2 linked regions of the Styela clava genome follow. The protein of the gene in region 1 purifies or fractionates together with the protein of each later gene. This does not show direct contact. Links are inferred from orthologs where the notes say so. Each region holds a gene or a part of one and is shown in the gene's direction. Other genes may lie near its edges.

Region 1 (7,101 bases):
AATGTGGCCGATTCCTCCTAGAACTGCTGCAGCAAGTTTTGATCGATATGGATTCCACGCTCTGTATTCAATCTTTATGCCATCATTCTGTAATTATATAGTTGAAGTTGAGTGAATATCGTTCTTCCATAAAAAACAAGAAAGTGATATACAGAGTGTCAATATAGCCTTTTTTAAAACTGCAAAGGGAATTTGTCGATGCCATATATTGTTTTGGCACTGACAGGTGTGTTAAATTGAATTGAGAACTGATTTCCTAACAAAATTAAAATTGTAAAGGGACTTTATAGAGCAGGGGTCGGGAACCTTTTTGGTCAAGAGAGCCATAAAATATACATATTTTCAATTGCATTTCCATGCGAGCCATATAACATTTCTTCACTTAATCAGGCCTGAAATGTTTACTCAAAAGTCAACACATACAATGTCAATATACATTTAATGTGATTTCTGATGCTGCATGTAGTCGCTGCGGGCCTTGAACGGTTGCTCACATGCAGCACAAGTTGAAATCTAAGATACTCATCACCCTTTTTCGTTTAGGCATCTCCGTAGTGTTTTTAAAACTATATCGCTTTGTGAAGTCACAATATATGTTCCAGATTCCCCTTGTTTGTCACAATGCCTGTCTGGTAATTATCTTACACAACATAGACATGTGCTGGACGCGCGTTCTCAAGCGTACTGGGAATTTCCTGCCAAATTTGGCTATAAAAGAGTTTGAAATCTCGTAACAATAGTAAGCTTAGTCTTGGAACATTAGATTTTTCTGGGAGCCATATGCCGTCACCAAAAGAGCCATATATGGCTCGCGAGCCATGGGTTCCCGACCCCTGTTATAGAGTATAGACGCTCTGTATAAAACATGTGTTAAAAAAAGTTTCCTCTTAACTATCATGGTCCTTCATCCAAACGTATCAACATGTTTACACACTCCAGTTAATTGGATTTACATATTTATCCTGGGAAAGAGAAAAGCCGATAAGATGGTTTAACCATATGCCAAACCAGGGCCTTTTGTCCGGTTACCAGTTTATGTTGAGTATGGAATTAGTTAGCCAGTTACTTGTTTTCGGAAGTATGGTAGTTCGTAAGTTATTTTATAGATATTTTTGTGGGTCTTGTTTTAATGAGAAAAACCGAGAATTTACATTTCATTGAATTACATTGGATACTGCTTGTAATAACATCCAGAACACACCATGGTCGTGTATTTTGAGTGACTAACCAGTGAGCTATTTTCATACCTGACTTGGGCTGAAAAGATATAGTTTTTCTCATTATTAAATCAACCTATTGGCTTTCCCATGATAAAATCACCTCTTTAAAATCGACCAAAGCAACTTCGCAATTTTTTTTTTAACTGCGAAACACCATAGTACTCCTAACTTCCTTACAGGGAACACTGTTCCCCAAGATAAATCATATTTAATCGAATATATTCATAAAAAAAACATTCAATTTCACGAACCTCAACTTCCACTTTCTTTTCTCCATAGACGGTGTTCCCGGGTACAAGATTTTTCGTCAACAAAGCGTCATCTTTTCCTCTAGCTACGAATATTCCTGGATGCTTATGGGGTTCAACAACCGTTGACCTTCCACCTCTGAACCCTCCTCCACCTCGACCTGCCATGAATAAAGTCAACTTCAATGTAATATCACAGAAAATGCCATCACATGGCACAAACAGAAAAATTAAATCAAGCAAATGCTGCAATAATGACTTCAGTAAAATTTGCTAGAGAACAGCAGTACAAGCACTTTCACGTTAGAAGTTCCAGTGGCTCTTGGCATTTCAGAGGTCGGTTGCAACTTTGCTCAAAAATTAGTCTGCTTTACTTCTGATTGAGTGGGCGTAGTTCTTGGCAGGAGTGTACCCAGGTGGGTTTAGGGGTCGGAACCCCACACTTTTGTGAAAAAAGGATTTTTCTGTGTTATACATGAAAATTTTTCCTATCCTCAAAACGTTTTTTTAGACATTTAAGTCTCTTGAAAACCCACATTACTGCTTCCAGCCGGACCCGCCAGCTGTCTAACTCAAGTGCAGTTTCAAGTATTTTGTGGCGTCTACAGCTGCCGCAAAACCATGGCGGGATTTCCAAACCACGGCCACTAAGACCAAACCCACGGCGACTGACTTTTTAGCTGCCACAAACCAATAGCGAGCTGCCGTGGTTACGGCAGCAAATCGAATACCACCAATTTTAATGCCGTAACCACGGCAGGTCGGCTGTAATAGCAGGGCTGCCCCTAATCTGCTGATGGTGATAAATATTTGGTGAGTTGGAATGTTTTTCTTATGGATACAGTTTGGATGGATTTGGGGTTAGGGTTAGGGTTTAAGTAGATATAATTTCGCATGATAAACTAAAATATGGTACATGAATTTGTAAATATACCCGTAATAGCGCCATAAAACCATGGCAGGAGACGGCGTGGTACGTTCGTGGCAGGAGCTGCCATGAAGTGGTAAGAACTGCGCCTCGTCTAACTTGGCAATTAGAAATTTCAGAACTCCCTCTTAAAAATTCTTCTGTTGTCGTTCGTAACTCTGATCAAAGAGGAGTATCCTTCATATTCAAGTGACTATAAGTGTCTTTGCTTTGGACAAAAATGTGATGTGAAAATGAATGCTTTGAGTGCTTAATAACGCCAAACAAATCTTTTATGCGTCACACAGACTTTAATGTTAATTACATTAAAATTTCACATCACATTTTTGTTTGGAGTTATTTGAGCAGTTGCGGCGTTCACTTAACTACACCCCAAAATCCTGTAAAAATAACATTGATAAAGAGTAAGTCCAACTTACCACGGGGTCCTCCTCTACCCCCGCCTCGGCCACCAAATCCGCCACGCCCACCTCCGCCAAATCCACCACGCCCACCTCCACCTCTGCCACCGAATCCGCCTCTGCCGCCCCCTCTTCCTCCTCCTCTAAAACCCCCTCTGCCGCCACCTCTTGGTGAAAAACCTGAAAAAAATGAATAAAAGAAAGTTTTAAACAATAAATATGAGATGAACCCGAGAAACTTAGAAGCACAAAATAAAATTGAAAGATTCAACGTACTTTTGATAAGGATAGGATTTACATATTTACCTAGAGAGCGAAAAGCCAATAAGACGACTTAAACATATGAGCATAAATAACAAGTGGAAACCTATCAAATATTCTTGTGACACATAATGTTCAGATGTTACTCTATTATGCTTACTTAAACAAACAACACATCACTGCTGTACCGTAAAAGCGCCCAACTTCGGACAGTTCCTAACTTCGGACAAAATTTTTGAACGGCCATATCTTGGATAAAACGCGCCGTATATTGCTAATTTTAATTATTATAGGTTGCGCTGTTATATTACCGTACCACATAGGTATAAGTTTATATCGACAGAATAATCAGCATAACTGGCGAAAAATGATTGATAAAAACAAATAAATAAAACTGATCGCAGAATCAGGAACGCTAACAAAACCTTAAGTAAGGTTTACCTTCAATTTATGAAAATATCACACAAGTGTTGAGCCAGCATAATTAATATACAAAATACTATATTTATATTAAACACATCAAATAACTCACCAGGTCTCCCCATTTAGAAGATAGCACAAAATCCTTGATAAAGTTCAGTAAGTCACAACGCGAATGCAAACCAAGAGCTAACGAAACTTTAACAGCGCAAATGCAGCCAAGAGACCAGCGTGAACAACACACGTGCAATGGTAAGAGTCACTCAGTCGTATCATTTTGCTATATACGTCATGTTTCGTGATGTAATTTTGAGGGTACGTTATGAATTAAATATTTAAAAATATAGATAAAATTATAATAAATATATTTATATGTTTGTTTTATCTTTATATAATTTTTTCAATAGCTGGAGATAAATGATTTTTGTATAGTTGAACACGGAACCACAACCGATAGTTTCCTGAGTAATTCACTTGCATACAGTTACAAGCCGAATCCCAGGTTTTTGAGTTCACGCCTCGAGTATTCGAAAAATACCTGTTAAATCTTACAAATCTTATCTATTTATGATTTTAAAAGATTTTAATATTGTGCTAATTTACATATTTTCCATCAGATAACTCTTAGTACATTATAATATTATAAAAATGTCGGAAAATCGGCGGGTCTGCGTTCACCCTGTGGTTTTATTCACCATTATTGACAGTTTCGAAAGGAGGAAAGAAGATGCAAAAAGAGTAGTAGGAACACTTTTAGGTAAGAATTGTAAAATTAGTGCTTTTTAATTGTAATTTAGTTATGTGACAATATTAATTCATTAGTAATATTCATTTGTGCTTTTTTTCTGCAAGTTTGATTTTGTTCTTGTGCAATCATGAGTATTTCAAAAGGAAATCAACCTATAAACAAGTCACTGGACAAGCAGAGATCTAGAGAGCTCCTTTTAACTTTTCAATTTTAAATATTTTTATTTTAATTGCTTCAATTAATTTTATGAATACTTCAAATGGCTTCTTCGTCAATTCGATTATAATATTAAAGTATTCATATTTCTTTTTTCACTCGTATCGTGAATATTTTAACTTCATAATCAGCATACAAAACGAAGAAATAATTGATAAAAACAAAACAAAAACGAACAGAATAAAGGTTGGAAAAAGGAAAACATTAAAACTTACAGAATCAAAATATAAAAGTGATGGTAGAGGAAATGGCTTTACTGACAGTAGCATTTTATGTTGCTCTCATTTCCTATCACATTGCTGATTTCTCTATGTCAGGGATGGCGAACCACTTACCCGCGGGTGACAAAGTGACCCACCGCGTTTTATTCTTGACCCGCCGAGGAACGAATAAAATAAAAAAAATGCTAACATATCAGTGATAAAAGTTGATGAAAATGGCTTTCAATTATTCCAACAATAACTAAACTATTATAATGTACCGTCAGTTGGCAGTCAGGGCTGCGATCGCTCATATTCAAATTGTTAATTTTCGGGTCGGTATGGTAATTTTCCAAACTCCTAATCTTGTACGGTATCTTGTTTTTGGTAATTCGTACTCTAATTTCATAAAATAGGGTGTCATAAAAAGTCCCTGATAGAAGAAGTGCTGCATAAGTAAAGCCCAAAACTTCACCAACACAAACAGAAGCTTAGGTTCAGGAGTTTCTTATAGATACAAACATTGCTTAAATATCTGTGACCCACTCTCTTCTGTTCCGCGATAAAAATATAATTTTTGACCTATTCATTGAAAAAGGTTCGCTACCCTTGCCCTATGTCTAGGTTAAATCTTGTTGGAGAAAAATATGTCATGACATGAGCTCATCAAATCTTATCCTAACTTCTTCCAGGTACTGTTGATGCAAACGCAGTTACAGTCACGAATGCTTTCTGTGTTCCTCACACAGAATCAGACGATGAAGTCGCATTTGACATGGAGTACGCCAAGAATATGTACGACCTTCATAGGAAGGTCAATACAAATGAAGTGATCGTTGGATGGTAAGAACAGTTTTCCACATTTGGTTTGTTCCCAAGCACACTTCTCAGATTTCAAGGATGTCCTCAGGAGAATATTTATATAACATAAAAATTAAATTTTTTTTTCAACGGGGCATCTGGTAAGACGACAGACGCATTAAAAATGACGATTTCGCAGTCTTTAAAAATAACTGCGAAGGTGTCACTCACATATCGCAAAAAAAGTGCGCTAATAGTGAACACTGCGGTGCATGATACCAATAATAATAACATTTTTTATCAATAAACACTTCTATTTATTCTTCACCAGGTACGCGACTGGGCATGACATTACCGAACACTCTGTACTTATCCACGAGTATTATACGAAAGAAAGTAAAAATAAAATGCCAGTTCATCTCACTGTTGATACAACACTGACTAACGGAGAACTTGGATTCAAAGCATACATAAGGTGGGGAGTAATGAATAATAAAAAAAATTTCATGAGAATTTTTTCAAGGCAAGGTAATAATGCACTCCCACTCAGAGGTAAAAAAGATTTGGTTCTGAGTGAAGTTGCCTTGAGCTACTGTAAGTCTGAAACTATGTAGATTTATTCATTATAGGTTAGTAAAAGCTGATTGACGAGACTTTAAGCTGTTTAAATCAGGGTTGTCCAAACTCAGGCCCGCGGGCCACATGTGGCCGGCCGCTGCATTATCTGTGGCCCGCGCCGGAATCAGAGGGTAATCAAAAAATCGCATTTGGTGTTGTTTTGCCATAAAGTTAATCAGAAAAATCTTTTAACATATTGTTACATCACTGATGTGACTAGTGTTATGGCACTTTTTTCCAGTACACCTGTAGTATGCGTCACAATAATAGCGGACAACGGAACGTGGTATGTGTACCAGGTTAGGGTTAGGCCATAATTTTATTCCAATTTTCTATATTTTAGTTATATTACTAGTTCTGGGACTAGCTATTTGTACGTGAAATTATGGTCTGACTCCAACCTGTTACACAAACTACGTTCCTGTGTCCGCCATCTTGATTCACATACTACAGGAGTACCATTTTCCGTCGAAATCTTACACTAAATGTAGATATAAAAAGACTTATGCAGGTTTTTTTTGGTGGTTTTTGCATATTTTAGCTTGACAAAAGACAAATACTGACAAGTACTTGTTTTGTATTGCACTGTTTACCTATTCTTGGCACTATTTGTGGCCCGCGAATAATGCTAAAATAATTTTGTGGCCCTCGGAGTTGACAACCTTGGACCACCCTGGTTTAAATCTAAAAGTATGATCAAGGTTGAACACAATTTTATATCAATTAGGTGCCAATTTAAGTGATCCTGGAATACAATAATATATATCTTTTCTTTTTACACAAGCTCACCCATTGGAGTCCCAGGCAAAACCCAAGGAATGATGTTCACACCCGTTGATGTGAAATTACTTCAATACGATGCAGAGAGGGTTGGAGTCGACAGAATTCAAACTGTAAGTATTTATGACTCCTTGCACCACCCAGATCTACGCATCTGCAATAATCAACTTACTGAAACTGCAAGACCCTAGTACTCACCAGGCGAGATTAATGTCTTCATAGGATCTTTATTTGTACAATTTAGTTCAAAGCAAGATACA
Region 2 (7,336 bases), on another chromosome or scaffold:
GGAAAATTCACATAATTCCAAGTTTTTGTTGGAATTCATTAAACTTTGCTTACAATTTGTATGACTTTATCTTTAATTTAAAATAATAAAATCAACCCCCTCTTGACCGGAAACACATGCTGCTGGGTTTTGAAAATCACCAAAATCGCCATATATGAGTTACGTCAATTTTACGTCAGATTTTCAAAAGTCAATCGGAAAATTCACATAATTCAAAGTTTTTGTTGAAATTCATTAAACTTTGCTTACAATCTGTATGCCTATATCTTTAAGTTAAAATAATAAAATCAACCCCCTCTTGACCGGAACCACATGCTGCTGGGTTTTGAAAATCGCCATATATAAGTTATGTAAATTTTGCGTCAGATTATCAAAAGTCAATCGAAAAATTCACATAATTCCAAGTTTTTGTTGAAATTCATTAAACTTTGCTTACAATTTGTATGACTTTATCTTTAATTTAAAATAATAAAATCAACCCCCTCTTGACCGGAAACACATGCTGCTGGGTTTTGAAAATCACTAAAATCGCCATATATGAGTTATGTAAATTTTGCGTCAGATTATCAAAAGTCAATCGGAAAATTCACATAATTCCAAGTTTTTGTTGAAATTCATTAAACTTTGCTTACAATTTGTTTGACTATATCTTTAATTCAAAATAAGAAAATCAACCCCCTCTTGACCGGAAACACATGCTGCTGGGCTTTGAAAATCACTAAAATCGCCATATATGAGTTATGTCAATTTTGCGGCAGATTATCAAAAGTCAATCGGAAAATTCACATAATTCCAAGTTTTTGTTGGAATTCATTAAACTTTGCTTACAATTTGTATGACTTTATCTTTAATTTAAAATAATAAAATCAATCCCCTCTTGACCTGAAACACATGCTGCTGGGCTTTGAAAATCACCAAAATCGCCATATATGAGTTACGTCAATTTTGCGTCAGATTATCGAAATTCAATCGAAAAATTCAAAAATTTATAAGTTTTTGTTGAAATTCATTAAACTTTGCTTATAATCTATATGACTATATCTTTAATTTAAAATAATAAAATCAACCCCCTCTTGACCGGAACCACATGCTGCTGGGCTTTGAAAAACACCAAAATCGCCATAAATATTGACATAATTTTGAGTTTCTGATAGAAATTCATTTGCTTCTGCTTACAATTTTTATGATTATATTTTTCATTCGAAATTTTAAAACCGTCCCTCCTCCGTTTTCTTTGCTTTCTTCAATCCGGCATTTCCTTTTTTATGCTTGTTTACCATATTTTAACAAGACAAATCATTGGGAACATTAAATTTTACGCGTGGGTATTTTCTGCGATTCTGTCAGTCTTAATTTCGTTTTTTGCTGCTAGCTTCCCAGAGGTTTAATGTTCCCTATTTGAAGAAAGACGCCAGTGGATAATATGATACTGTACTTTAAACATTCTAATATTATATTGCCAGGAAAACAGCTTAGTGTTAGCTTGTGAAGAGGGTAGGCTGATAGTATGAGATAACTGAATAACAATTCTGGTGACTCCGTTGTAGGCCTACAGTGAAAAAAAATCACAATTGTTGGTCGCCTTTCATGAACATTGAATACCCAATTGTAATGAAATAATCTCGGGAGAAATAAAATAAACTATATATGAATAAACAAATAATCATTTGTACCACAAAACTGCGCGAAGCGTTTTGATATTTGAGCGTTATTATGTTCAAAGCGAACATACTCTCGAATGTTACTTTACCAAAGTGTACCATTATGTGCGTTTAGATTCTGTTGTGAATCACAACAAGCATTGTGATCTGTTAAACGTGAGGCCCAACGTCATTGAATATTTCCCGATATAGTATTTTGAATATTTCGACAAGAACTTCGTTGGTCATTTTACGTGTATGTAAAGTAAACAGTGCCGAAGCGAATCACACCTGTTGATCTGTGTTTTGTTATACTGAATGTTGATGCGGAATTAGCGAACAAGTGACTCCTGGTTTGTCATATGACGTCTTGATAATGCAAATGCAGTAGACCCGTCAATAAGTGTTTTTGTGCCTAAAATACCCCCGATTTTGTTCTCCAGATTAGCAGCGTTATTCAAACAAAAGAGCTACGCACAAATATATGGACACGTTAGACCAGAGCGAATCAGTCTTTACCGGTACCTTTGACGCTACCGGTACCCTCAAAAAAGTTCTGAATTTCCAGTAGCAAGAATTTTGCAGAATCAAAACGTACAGCCAGTCATGACACTGACTAAAATCCGTGTTCCCATGGATAAAAAATAATACAGCAAAATTTTAGACGAAATATCAAATTTCATAGAATTCACGCAAAATTTTGAAATAAATAAAAGTAATAGCCTTCTAGCGAAGAAATTATTCTTTAACCACTGAAAATTTCAAAGCAATTGGTCCAGTATTCGAAGAGAAAAGCGATTTTTTAAAAACGTGTCAAAGAACAACAACAACATAATATTGAAACGATCGTTATGGCCACTAAACGTGTCCAATAAGAGATATCAGCCAGGTGAATGATTACCGTTATTATTGAATATAAAATTTATTACATTATTAGGATATATTCACGATTTAACAAAAAATTGCAAAAGCACTTTCACACAGGTATGTCGTAAAGGCTTCGATGCAAACATTCACTGATTTACTTCTACTACTACTTGGCTACATCTCACGGCAATGTACCAGACAGAAGTGCATTTCTCGAGAAAAAACCGATACCAGAATACCGGGTCACGTGACATTACATGCTGTTTTATTTCTATTCACTTCTATGCTTTGCCTGTTATTGCAGTATTACACAGTTTAATTACAATCGGTTGAGTTAACTGGCCTTTAAGTTTAAGGTTTTGGAAACTATTAATGTTAGTTGTTTGAAACTGGTGAGGATTGAAGAGAGAATGAAGTAAGACGATATTTTATCCCAACAATTACTGAATTAATTCATGTAATGCAGTAATGATACGGTACCGGTACCCGTGCCGCTACGGTACGGTACCGGTAATTACTGAATTAATTCTGTAATTCGGTAGATTACCTGTGCTGTAATTCAGGCAGTCGCGCAACAAACATTTACAGTACCTGTACGTCATTGAACTTGGGTCATGTAATATGGTACATTACCGTAATACAGTACTGCAGTAAGGCCAGAAGGCGGTGTAGCTCATCGTGCTAAGCGTTAGGAATACGGTACGCTCGCTACGCACCTCTAATTACTCTGCGTGTGTTCGCAGGTTTGAATCCCATGCTTCATGGTTATGTGCGAGAGGATTGCAGGACTCCTTGCCACCGTTGGGTGGTTCACCTAACCGCTAGTCGGTTACGGCTTCCTCGACCATCAAGTCCATGCTTCGGAAAAACAAATACCTAACTAATCCCATACCGGTACTCGACATGGAATGGTAACCGGACGAGAGGACGTGGTTCGCTTCGCTATATGGTTAAGCCGTCAAATCGGCTTTCCTCTCCTCCAGGATAAATATGTAAATCTTATCCTTATCCTTAATATGCATGGATACTGTATCATTTTTAGGTAAGAAAATCCCTTTGATCTGTAGATATTTTTTAATAAGTTTGTTCAAAGCAAGGTCTGTAGTCTACAGTAGGACTGTAGGATGAGAACTGCTTTGAGCTTCTAAAAGTAGTTTTCCTAGAAAAACTTGTACTCAGTACCGGTACGGTACTAGACTATTGCGAATTACTTAAATTAGTTCGGCACAGTTCTCTGAATATTGGATTACAAGAATAGCCTCCATACTACAGTACACCACACTATACAGATCGAGCGACATTGTCTCGTTTCATAGAGACCCATTTTACTGATCATTAGACACCCCTTCGGCTTCTCTGGGGGACGTCTGCACATGGTTCGATAGTTGTCCCCCAATATCAGTTAAAATATAGTAAATTGAATTTGAGCAAAAAACCACAAGGAAGGGCAATCTAAAAATGTCATCATTGAATTCCTCGGGGAAAAAATATTCCCATTTACCGATGGAAAAAATATCTACCGTGGCATTCGAGAGTTTTGAGCAAAAAACGGCAATTTTGGTCATGTGACGGCTGGGATTAATTTAGATCATTATCGAGACAAGCATGACGCATCTGCTGCGTGCCAGACACCTTTGGTTTGTGAGACACATGGAGTGTTTGTTTTATTGAACCAAATGAGGGACATTCTTAGAATTTGGAAAGATATCAATTATAAGATTTAGTGTGAACCCCTCCTTTACGAGACAGTCCGGGTCTCCAACTGGCACTGCACAATAAACTAAAATGAAGCGCAATCTACAAAACGCACCATTGATTACCAACTGATATTTTTTAGGATAGCATCAAATAATATAACTTTGAAAACTAGTTTACTATGTCCGAAAAGAAAGCTGATATTAAAAGCTCTGGTGAACCGGCAAAACCAGAAGCAACCAAAGAGCAAGAGAAAGGTGATTCAAAAGAAGTTACTGTAGAAGATGAAACTGCTATCAAACACCCACTGCAAAGCAGGTATGTTGTGCTGCTTATACAATTCAGGAAATCAAATGATATATTTTGTCCTAATTTTTATGCACAATTTGTATGCGTACTTATTGAATATAGACTACAATGACTTTTTTGTGCTTTCATGGCATGATTAGAAAATATTCGAAAGTCTGAAGAATTTTAAAATTTGTTTGGAATAGTGAATTACATTTTTAGTCACCATTATGTTAAGTGTACGAAATTTCCAATACAATGATCTTTGATCAAGTATACATTTGTAATGATTCTGTTTTTTTAGATGGGCACTCTGGTTTTTCAAAAATGATAGAAGCAAAAAATGGGAAGATAATTTAAGATTAGTAACTAAATTTGACACTGTAGAAGATTTTTGGGCGTAAGTATTGTTTTATTACATTTTCTAGCCAAGACTTTTTCTGTGATAAGAATTCCTACTCAGCGTTACTTTATTGATATTTGGTGAATATAGAATTTTATGGATACAAAAACAAAGCTTTATAATGAAATATTTGAATCAAGAGACTTCAAAAATAAATTTGAGTATGTGAATAATCTTTACTTGGTATATTTTCATTAAGTGTTTATCCTTTATCCGGTAAGATTATTTATTCAAAATAGTTTTTTTCTGTCTCAAATATCAATTGGCAATGTCTCTCTTTGATATTTCCTTCTTTATTTCATTGATGCACTAACTTGTGTAGTTTTTCTCATTTAAAGACATATTCATGAGGATCAAAACCTCATGTAAAGACATACTAATAAACATAAAAGAATCTTAATTCGCTGCTGTACTACATGCAAGCTGATGTAAAAGTACACAAAGTGTGTATAGCTCTAGTAATTCTTGCCTTCTTCTGTAGGCTTATAGCTGGAGCAAGAATTGTCATTCTGTATTAAATAATTTATGGGACAACTCAGTATTGGCGATTCCCCCATGAAAATACAAAACAAAATGGTTATAATATTTGTTATCAGTTGTTTTATACCACAAATGTTTTCTATTTTCAGAATCTATAATCATATTCAACTTTCTAGTAAGCTGCAAAGTGGCTGCGACTATTGTCTATTCAAGGTATGGTTATTGTCATACTACTGATATCATTTTGATATCTATATATCTGCTCAGTAATCCTGCTGTGACTCTTTTGTAACGTTGAGAACATTTTTAAACATTGAACCTATTACAAGGCTCTTGGGGGTTGTGGTTTAACTGAATGCTTACTGAAAATGTTCATTTATCATTGCTCATAGTCTAATTCTAAATGTGTGGGCGACTTTAGTTATGTGTTGGTTGGTTTTGGTTAATGCTTGACTAACTTCCCTTGTTAGTTGTTAATGTTAAAGTTTGAAGTTATCTCAACCTTTGTTTTATGTTGTTATTACTTGCAGTACTTTTAGTTCAACTGCGGGTTCCTGCAGGAATGCTATGTTTTTTTTCGGTACTCCCATAGTGTGTGTACCAGGTTTAGGCCATAATTTTATTCCAATTTTCCTTATTTTAGCTCTATCTATTATGAGTTCGGGGAATGTGTGTGTTAGCCAAGTGATTATACCCCCCCAGTCCATAGCTGTCAGTCCCTTTAACAACTTGATGTAAAATAGGTGAACAAAATTAGATACCTCCATATTGGTTCACACACTTTTGGGGCGCCTTTTTTTTTTCAATGTTTCCAGCTTTCAAATTGTGCAGCATATTACTATTATTATAATGTACAGCATTATAGCGTTTTTGACATTGGATCTACCTATTGGTATCTCAGGTTGAATATCTCTGGCCCTCCAGCATATCAGGGCGTAAGAGAGTGTGTAATGCCCTGTCCAGTGTTTCGAAAGCATAGTGCTAATTTGTCTAACACAGATGTGAAGTGCAAAAAGTCAGAATATAAATCAAATAAGTAATTCTTTCTCTTGATAGCCTGAATTTCTAAAATGAATTTTTATCACAATAATTTCATGAAGTTGTTTGTAATTTTTCCTAATCTCTACAATATGTGCACTGTATGCAGGATGGGGTGCAGCCTATGTGGGAAGATGAAGCAAATAAAAATGGTGGACGATGGTTGTTTCAGTTGAACAAAACACAGAGATATCAAGAATTAGATAGAATGTGGCTTGAAACTGTAAGTTTGGCTTGTAAATATAGTATAATAAGTTGTAAATCCTATTGTCATTTACGATTTTTTATCTGGGGTTTTTGTATGGGTGGTTAGAACTGGAGCTGGGACTATCAGAAATTTCAGTGTACAGCTCCTAACCATATACCGTAATTATTCTCCAGATTTCTAATTCCCAATATAAATTAATATAAAATCTATCCTATATAAATTTTTGATATTTTATGTTACAAACCTTGCTTGGACTGGTAACCGGATGAAAAGCTGTGGTTCACTATATGATATGCTGTATTGTCATCTTTTCTCTATATTTTTATAGACATGATAATCCTCAACTATCCTACCGCAAAATTTAACATATTGCTTTTGCTTTTGAAAGACATTTTGTGGTCCTGGTTTTTTAAGCACATTTCATTAATAATAGAAAGTTTTTGATATACTCATAATAATGATGTGATAAATTATCTTTTTCTCAAGATCCTCTGTATGATTGGAGAATCTTTTGAAGCAGAATCAGATTTTGTTAATGGTGCAGTAGTTCAAGTCAGAAACAAGGGAGACAAGATTGCTGTATGGACATCAGATTGCCATAGACGTGATGTGATTCTTAAAATAGGGTATGTGGCTTTAGTTTTCTCAAAGTTTTGAAGTGTTTTCTGTTGTTCGTTTTTGATATTGTTGTGTGAAAACAGAAATAAACAACTAATG

The links.
Region 2: the proteins of eukaryotic translation initiation factor 3 subunit F-like (region 1) and eukaryotic translation initiation factor 4E-like purify together in Homo sapiens (affinity purification with mass spectrometry; 3 studies listed by BioGRID and IntAct, with this or other methods). This does not show direct contact. The link is inferred for Styela clava from reciprocal best matches to the Homo sapiens genes EIF3F and EIF4E.

What each region holds. Positions count from the first base shown.
Region 1 is NC_135253.1:21,922,486-21,929,586, reverse strand, and holds the start of eukaryotic translation initiation factor 3 subunit F-like, read left to right. Parts: upstream 1-4,076; 5' UTR 4,077-4,126; coding exon 4,127-4,235; intron 4,236-5,334; coding exon 5,335-5,485; intron 5,486-5,774; coding exon 5,775-5,918; intron 5,919-6,845; coding exon 6,846-6,954; intron 6,955-7,101. Other genes in the region: rRNA 2'-O-methyltransferase fibrillarin-like, read right to left, coding at 1-87, 1,472-1,629, 2,816-2,977, 3,591-3,603. UniProt on the Homo sapiens protein: Component of the eukaryotic translation initiation factor 3 (eIF-3) complex, which is required for several steps in the initiation of protein synthesis.
Region 2 is NC_135260.1:20,083,943-20,091,278, reverse strand, and holds the start of eukaryotic translation initiation factor 4E-like, read left to right. Parts: upstream 1-4,324; 5' UTR 4,325-4,383; coding exon 4,384-4,520; intron 4,521-4,794; coding exon 4,795-4,890; intron 4,891-5,522; coding exon 5,523-5,586; intron 5,587-6,520; coding exon 6,521-6,634; intron 6,635-7,105; coding exon 7,106-7,245; intron 7,246-7,336. UniProt on the Homo sapiens protein: Acts in the cytoplasm to initiate and regulate protein synthesis and is required in the nucleus for export of a subset of mRNAs from the nucleus to the cytoplasm which promotes processes such as RNA capping, processing and splicing.